Linked DNA regions of Drosophila melanogaster. The protein of the gene in region 1 interacts with the protein of each later gene in a pairwise test. Each region holds a gene or a part of one and is shown on either strand. Other genes may lie near its edges.

Evidence for each region.
Region 2: the proteins of CG42553 (region 1) and mRpS30 interact in a two-hybrid assay, tested with the Drosophila melanogaster proteins (one large-scale study listed by BioGRID).

The regions. Positions count from the first base shown.
Region 1 is NT_037436.4:832,101-836,084, reverse strand, and holds CG42553 (uncharacterized protein), read right to left. Parts: upstream 1,993-3,984; 5' UTR 1,909-1,992; coding exon 1,750-1,908; intron 1,694-1,749; coding exon 1,367-1,693; intron 1,307-1,366; coding exon 755-1,306; intron 699-754; coding exon 621-698; 3' UTR 570-620; downstream 1-569. Other genes in the region: CG42554 (uncharacterized protein), read right to left, coding at 1-149, 215-238; Sf3b3 (splicing factor 3b subunit 3), read left to right, coding at 3,145-3,370, 3,678-3,984.
Region 2 is NC_004354.4:15,784,109-15,788,992, reverse strand, and holds mRpS30 (mitochondrial ribosomal protein S30), read right to left. Parts: upstream 2,947-4,884; 5' UTR 2,822-2,946; coding exon 2,364-2,821; intron 2,200-2,363; coding exon 984-2,199; 3' UTR 705-983; downstream 1-704. Other genes in the region: Paf-AHalpha (Platelet-activating factor acetylhydrolase alpha), read left to right, coding at 3,933-4,328, 4,397-4,678.

The DNA.
Region 1 (3,984 bases):
AATGTGTCCAGAACTTCCTTGGATTTGGGCAGAGCCACCCGTTTTTGGGCATCCTGCATGTAGATTAGGGATGTTTCCAGCGCTTTAATGGCCTCCTCATAGCGGTGATTGCGTATAAATCGCTCCGACCTTCGCTCGTGGAAATGAGCCTTTGATTTGGGTAGGTAATTCCATTTAAAACCATGTAAATTCGATGTTTTCTTCGGGTTCTTACCAAGTTCAGTGGTGCGCAGTCCATGTTTTTGACTGTTTTCCCGTCCTGATTTGAAATTATATGATTGCTCTTGTAACGTTGAAATTGCCAGGCACCTAAATTTTAATAATTATATTCCCAATTGCAATATTGCCTGTTTTATGCAAGCAAAATGTCGTCTATTTTTTTGCAAGAACGCAGTTTCCAAAATTTCACTTTTGTTTACATATGTTTTATGCGCGAGGTGTGGCAGCTCTGTCATGACAACAATCGATAAGAGTCGTATGTATCGTTTCGAATTTTTAAAAACCAATCGAATTCAAATTTGAAGGATCTTTATTTAATAATTATAACAACTTTGTGTAGAGCAGTTTTTGAAAAAAAATCACATAAAATTTATTTGAATAGCCTTAACGCTTATTGGTTTTTAAAGCGGTCTTCCTGTTGCCTGCTTACCTTCGGTAAGTGCAACTGAAGCGTGTACAAAAACAGGCACATTGATACCCTGTAAAGCACAGACATTAAAGACAGGACAAAATCACATTTTCCATTCATGCATACCTGCATCTTAGCTGATCTCACAAAGGCCTTATTCGAAGTCACAGTGAAAATTTGCCTGGCCATGCCGAAACTAAAGATTTTCAGACTTCGCTCGTTTACGTTGGCAGTGAAACGTATGTGGGAGAATTCTTCGGGTATTGTTTCCACATCCGGATAAACGGTGACCCGTTTCATCAGTTCCTCGGCTCGCTTCCGTTCGCCCTCGCCGCCTACAATATCCAAAATACTCTGGAAGGCATCGTAGGCTAACTGGCAGCAGACCAAGGTTTTTCCCTCTAGGATTTTCTCGAGGAGCGGTTTTAGCGGCGAGGCTCTTTCCCTTTCCGCCTGTTCGGTGAGCAGAGGTTCCTTGTAGACCCAATTGGCGGATCCGTTGGTGAGCGCACTAACGTAGGCCAGCAATGTGGTCACATCTAGATTCAGTTCGTTCGACGTCGTGGCGTACATATCCAAGTCGGTGTCTGGTGAGTCCAGGGAAGCAGTTTGTACGCCCATTTCCATTAGCTCTTCATGCAGGGAGTCCTCGATTTTGTTGGAGAAGTAGAATACTATCTAAAAGGCAGTATATCAGATGATGAATGCTGTCTAGGGTAGCATACTATTAGGCATTACCTTCGGCCTCTGGAACATGCAGAAACTAAGTTCGCTGGCCTCCAGATAATCCTCCGCCTGGTCGATGACACTTCGGGCTCCGATGCTGACACATCCCCTGGCCGCGTCCTCGACGGACTTCGAGTTCCTGGCTATCACCTTCACCCACTTGAGTCCATTGTTGGCCACGATGTCGACTCTCAGGGGACTATCCCTAGACTCCAGGCGGAATACGGCATTGATGTCGACTACTCCTTGTTGCAAACGCAGAGTTTTAATGAGAAAATCGTAGTAAACAAAGTTACTGCTGGTTATGTGGTGTTCCTTTACGGACCTTGTAGTAATCACCTTGAAGGAAAATGCTTTTACTCAATGTTTTTATCATGAAAAATAGGCAAACAAACCTTATTTAGAAATTTGAGCTCTTGCTGAATTTTTCGCTGTACTTTGCTGACACCAGGCAAATCTTCGAAGTCTTTCAGCGCTTTCTTCAGCTCCTCGCCCAGTTTTACTTTCTTGTGGGCTTCTTCGTAGAGCTTTTCTCGATCCTCTTGCTCCTCCATATTAAAACGTTAGCAATATTTACAAAAATCACGAAATATTTGTTTTTAGCTGTCAGCTGTTTTGAAGAAGCAAAGATGCAATGACATTTCAGGTTTTACAACACTGACAATTCCATGACTGATTAGAGATGTCGCGAATCTGAAGTTGGTATATCGATAGTCAACAAACCTAGTTTACTAAGTAATAATTGATGATTTTTCTAATTAGTCTAATAACATGAGCCAACGCCGCGTAAAAATATACTCAAGTAGAGATCGAATAAACAGAAAAAAATAGTTGGGGACTGATCTATTTATTTTTTTTAAATACCTTTAAAGTTTTCTCCTTAATCATACCTTAATAGCATAGTATTGAGCCCAGCCCTTTAGCCACAATTCGGTGAGTGGTTTTGTTTTCATTTAAGCCCATGATAAAAATTTTTTAAGTTAAAGAAAGATAAAACGATTGATCCAGTACATATTTTTACAGATCCTTGAAATTTTCCATTTTTTCACAGAAAATTGCATATTATATGTTTAGCTTTTGAGGCAGTTTTTGGTATGTGGAACTGGGATTGGCCCATGGCAATTTCCGAATATTTAAATGTGGTATATTTAATAAAGGATAAATTCGATATATCTTGACCAGGATTTTTAGGAAACTTATGATTTCTGCAGCAACAATTTCCAGTAAAATAATTATTTAATTTATAATCAGTCTGAACCGGGCCTATTATCGATAGGAAAATCGACGGCCGCGCACTATCGATAAGTCAAGCCACATTTTATGCACCACCATTTTTACTTTTATAGTTCTTTTACTTTTTGTCGGCGAACAGAGCAGATGTGAAAATGAAGAGTTCTGAGTAATCAGGAAAATTCGAATCCAAAGGCATCGCTGGTGAAATGTGCTAATTCATCCATTTAACCAGCCGAAGGTAAACAAATACACGTGCTAGCACTGATATCTACTATTATTTAAGCGCTTTCCGCACGAAGTATCTCCAGAAATCAGAAATGTCTGTGCTTTGGTCGCATTTGAAGCGTGCTAAACTAAGAATTAAATGCTGCTTACTAGCATCGTTAGGCGACACGACTTTCCATACTGTGGCCATGGTTTTCAAAGTAGTACAAATTCACAAAAAAAAAAATACACCGCCATTCACGTGACTTTTTCCCTTGTCTGCAACTGTACCTAACCTCAACATTGCTTCTCTTGCAGTCGTGGACAAAAGTGAAAGAGTGTAGTGCTCCACCATGTATCTGTACAACCTGACCCTGCAGAAGGCCACCGGCGTGACCCACGCGGTCCACGGCAACTTCTCCGGCGGCAAGCAGCAGGAGGTCCTCCTGTCGCGTGGCAAGTCGCTGGAGCTACTGCGTCCGGACTCCAACACCGGCAAGGTGCACACCCTGCTCTCCACGGAGATATTCGGATGCGTTCGCGCCCTGATGGCCTTTCGACTGACGGGCGGCACTAAAGGTGAGTCTTTCAATTGTAATTTAGTTTTGTACCATCAATTGGGAGTAATGTATTGCTCCTATATAATCTATGTAAGTCGCACAAATCCCTATTGAGGCAACAGACGGCTAGTTGACCCCAGTAAGACCTTTGAACGCGTCTAAGTGCGAGAGAAACCGAAAGACTTGACGTCGCATTTGCCATAAACCAACTCAACGGAGTGGCGAATTGAAACTTCGAGTTACAAAGTCAATAAAATATCATTATAGTCATTAGAAAGTGTTAAATGTATGACCCTAATCTCGAATATCGTTACCTTGCTTTGCAGATTACATAGTTGTGGGCTCGGACTCGGGACGCATCGTGATCCTCGAGTACAATCCCTCCAAGAATGCTCTTGAAAAAGTGCACCAGGAGACGTTCGGAAAGTCGGGATGTCGCAGGATTGTGCCTGGGCAATACTTTGCCATCGATCCTAAAGGAAGAGCCGTGATGATTGGCGCCGTGGAGAAGCAAAAGCTGGCCTACATCATGAACCGGGACACGCAGGCTCGCCTCACGATCTCATCGCCCCTGGAGGCCCACAAATCGAATACACTGACATACCACATGGTCGGCGTGGATGTGGGCTTCGA
Region 2 (4,884 bases), on another chromosome or scaffold:
AAAAGAAATATATATGCAACAGGTTACTGCTCTACCTTTTTGGACAACCGAAGCGCCAGATACGAGTTTCCGAACCACCGTAAAGTCTCAAACTGGTTATTTACTCGAGCCTAACTATTCAGATCCAGTGTGACCGTCGCACGGCCGTTATAACATACCATACGGTTAGCTGGGACGTTACCGAAATAACCAACAAGTGGTAACTTTTTCAGCAATCCTAACTTTGATGTAGTGGACTATAAAGCTATTATCGTAAATGTAAAACTACTATAATAAATGGGATAATAAAATAATCAAGTAATTAATTAATGCATACATATTACCAGACTAAGTAAGAGTTTGAAGTGTACTTATATGGAATATCATATAAACCTTAGTGCACTATTATGTTCAAACAATATATGATTTGGTAAAAAGATTTAAACTACACTATAGCATTATAAACCTTTTTTACGTTCGAAAAATATGGTTCTGGTGCAGTGTAACCGCATTTTACCCACTTTTTGAGATAACTTCGGTATGTTTGCAGTGCTGATAAATGAAATAAACAATGGAATCTAGAATAAATATGTGCTGCATAAACAATTAAATAATGATAAGAAGCATTGCATTGGCAAGTTTTAGCATCATCAGCACTAATAATTGGCAAAATTCCAGGTATTTGTATAATCATATCTATTTGAAAGAATTTAAGATAAAAAAGACTAGCTTATAAATTTACAGAAGTGTTTAACCACAAGCATAACAAAGTTAATAAATATATATACTTTGTATGGCATAGAATTTAAATTGAAATTTAACAAAATATTTATATTAAAAATCATTAACATACTGACAAAAGTTTGCGGAAAATTGAGTTAATCAAAGTTTAAAGAAACTTTGTACACCGTTTCGTTGCTCCGAATCTGCAATCCAGTATTTCACATTAAAAATTCAGCATTTTTAACAAGTGTAACCTTAGGAAGTGTTTTATATTTATTCATTTAAGGGTAGTACGTCTTCTTGAACCTGTTCTTATTCTTAGGGACGTCTGGTCGGACCGCACGTGGAACATACTCCTTGTCATGTGTGTCCAGCGTTCGCTGCCAAGGATTGATGTCCAGCTCGAAGAAGCGTCTCTTAGCCTCCATGGCACGATTGTTGTTATCGATCTTGTATAGCTTCTCCCACAGGTAGATTTCGGGCAGCTCCAAGTGTCGCGGTCGGTTTGATGCCAAATATTTGAAGGTCTTATTGATAAAGTCACGCTGTTCGGCGTTCTCATAGGCGGAAACGTCGGAGGCAACATACGGCTGCTGCTCCCCAATGCTCCGCTGAATCGATGGCGCATTGGCATAGAAATTGAGCAGGTGCCGCAGTGCGTTATCGTTGAAATCAACGCACTTGCCGCTTGCCGAAATCTCGGCGTACAGTGGAAGTGGCTTTGTACCGCGACAGAAGTTGACACGGGGATTTTCCGCCACGTTTGTGCCGTGCAGCAGCAGCGTATTAAGCTGATACTCATAAAAGCTCCATTCCCTGCCGTTCGTGATCACAGTTTGAGTGTTCATGGGATAGGTCAGTTCGTTGTAGGTGTTGAAGCCATTGTAGTTCGCCTGGGCCAAAAGCCAGGCGTATGACGATTTAATCGCCAGCGAATGCAATGCCTCCAGCTGATCCTGCTCGCCGAACGATTTCGGACGGATCTGCAGGTGTGCACGCGATTGAAATGAGAGCAGGCCGAAGTTATTCTCATTTCCTTTGGGCCAATAGCCTGGCACATTGGTGGCGTGCTGATGCTTGGTGCTGTAGCCGAGGGTTCGCGGGTCGTGCTTGAAACGGGGCAGCTGTTTGCTCAGCTCGAGGTTTTCGCTTTCCGCTTCCGTTTTCCACGGCGTCAATTGCTTGCGATGGCGTAGGGCAAGATACGGCGCTCCCGTATACTGAACCATCCGATCAACGCTCTCGTTTGCCATATCCTTTTGCCATTCCCGGCCCTTCTTCGATTTCTGCACGTTCTTGGGAGGATCTACGCCGCCAACGGCCCAGAACGCTTCGTGGCGTGGATTGTAGTCGACATCGAGCTCATCCAGGTGCTTGTACTCCTCGCTGAGCGACTGCAGCAGAGCTCTGTTCAGCTGTTCTACAATGATCTGCGTTAGGATGCGCTCACGTTCAACGGGGTTCGATTCGGCAGAGTTGTGTTGCTTTTCCAGATGCCTACGCTTGGTAATGGAGGAGAATGAATACATTAATATCAGACGGTCGAACTTGTAACTGGGACCACTCCAACCAATCCGAGTTCTTAAGTGAGTTGGACCAACTACTGTCCACAAACTCGCCGGAGAACTTGGTTCGTTGAAAGCGGACCTCGTTGTACCCACTTGTAGTAGTCGTGGGCAAACTCGAGGGCATCAATAACATCCCCGCGAGCCGCCTTGAAAAGACCATCCACGCTCGGCTGCTCCTGCTCCTGCTCGGAGTCCTTAGCCTGTGCCTTCTTATCCGTTTCAGATGGCAAATCCTCGAGCACTGTGCGCGTATAATGTTGCGTGAGCGGCAGTGCATTGTAGGGGATTTTCGAGTCGTTGAAGTCGACCACCTTGAAGCCGTAATAGCGGGGCATATTGATCTTGATCATCTTCTCCTCCACCGTCGGCACCTGCCGGATTTCCTCGTGCCAGTTGGCCGCATCCTTCTGCTTGCGCGCCTTGAAGGACAGATCCTGAATCTCCGGATATGCCGGCTCTGCGTCCGTACTATTCAGCTGCAGCTGCGACTGGCCGGACAAACAGCGCTTGTACGTCGTTCGCAGATGGCGAACACGGTTAAGCTTCAACATGCCGTCGAACCTAACGCAAGTTACGATTTATGTTTTCGAAGGAATAGAATTGACTTCAGTTTTTTGACAATAACTAGGTTATGTCATTGCTGCAGTGTGACCGCACGCTGGATTCAGAATAGGTTGCGCCAAGGTAGCGACGGAAAGTTTTGCGATGCCAGTGAAAGTAATGGTATAATTTCTATTTATGCAGTTCAATAATAATTCATAATGAATCATAGTCCTTTACTATTTAACGTGTAGGGGTACAAAATTTAACTTGCTTATGTTTCAAATCTTTTTATTTCTGAAATCAGTTATAAATCATCGTAATATTTTTTAAGCTGTCTAGAAAAAGCTAAAAAATAGTCTTGTTTCATTTGGTATATTTTCCCCTTGAAATAATGGCATATGGCTTAAAGGCACATGCCTTAAAAATCACAATTGTAAACTTAAATCAACAGAGATCAAAATAATTAACAGACTTCTCTGCGATAACGCTTTTGACAATTTTGAATAAAATGCACGTTACAAACAGTAACATATGTGACCGTGTAACGTTTTCGATAACGTATCCCACATCTTTTTCAGCTGTGCCAAGTGCAACATTGCTAGACAACACTTTCCAGCCCTGGAAAAATACCAAGACATCTACCATCTCTCTAAAAACGAAAACATAAACGCTTACCAAGAAAATCGTAGATTTTCTACACCAAATTAAAATAAACTTATAAAAATTTTCAACCTTAAATCCTTGGCAATTTCCATGTACACGAGGGTGGCCACATAATTCTACGACATTTACGGATGTTAATGTTGAGGTAACCTAAAACACAAAAAAAAAAAAACAAAAAAAAAATCTTCGCCATAAAAACGATTTATTAAAGTAAACAACGGTACGGAGTTGTTTATGCTAGCGACTATCAGTTCAATTGTTTGTCCACGACTGCAACGCTGTCACTGCAAGCCGAGCAGAACGCCCAAGTATCCGGTAAGACTAAGCCGCAGACGATGCCTCATTCATCCGCATGCTGAAACTGCAACTGAATCGAAATCGAAATAGGAATAGGAATCGGAATCTTTAACTAAAACTCAATATTGGTCTGCAACTGAGTCTGAGCACGCCGACGAAATGAATCCCTGTGTGCTGCCCACCCCATTGCCCGATCTGGATGGCGACAAGCGTTGGCACAGCATACATCGCCGGTTCATCTCCGATTGCCGCGAAAAGGATCCGGATGTGATATTCCTCGGCGACTGCATCTTCGAGACCGTCCAGGACACGGAGGCCTGGAATAAGTACTTTGCGCCGCTGCACTGCCTTAACTTCAGCATTCGCGACGACTGCACCGAGCACGTACTGTGGCGCATCGAAAACGGTGCGCTGGACAATGTGAATCCCAAAATCGTCGTCCTCCATGTGGGCACCAATAATGTGCGGAACAGCGCGGAGGAAGTGGCCGAGGGTGTGCTCGCGAACGTAACGAAAATCCGGCAAAAGCTGCCCAACGCCTATATCGTTTTGCCCGTAAGTACAATAGTTGTGGTATTAGCCAGCCGCAGTAAATCATCGACATTCCCATCTCTCCCTTGCAGTCGCTACTGCCGCGTGGCCAGCAGCCCAATAAGTTGCGCGAAAAGAATGCCAAAATCAACGAGGTGGTCAATGGATTGACCAAGGGCTTGTATCGCGTCCAGACGGTGGCCATTGACAAGGGTTTGGTCCAGACCGACGGCAGTATCAGTCATCACGATATGTTCGACTATAAAAATCTAACCAATGCTGGAGCGAAAAAGATATTAGAACCACTCTACGATCTGCTTTCTCAAATTCTCAACGAAAACGAACCTGAAAACGATCTCACCCCCTCCGAATAAAAGGAATATCCAGCAGCTATCCATTATATATATACATACATGCATACATACACACATACATATACCACAAACAATTCCCAGAATATAACTTAAAACCAGAAATGTATTTTTTGAAATCTCATAAGCTATAGAGCTGCGAGACTAACTCACAATTAAGCATACATTTTTCGTATCGAATAGTAAACCATCGCATATACCATTGCATT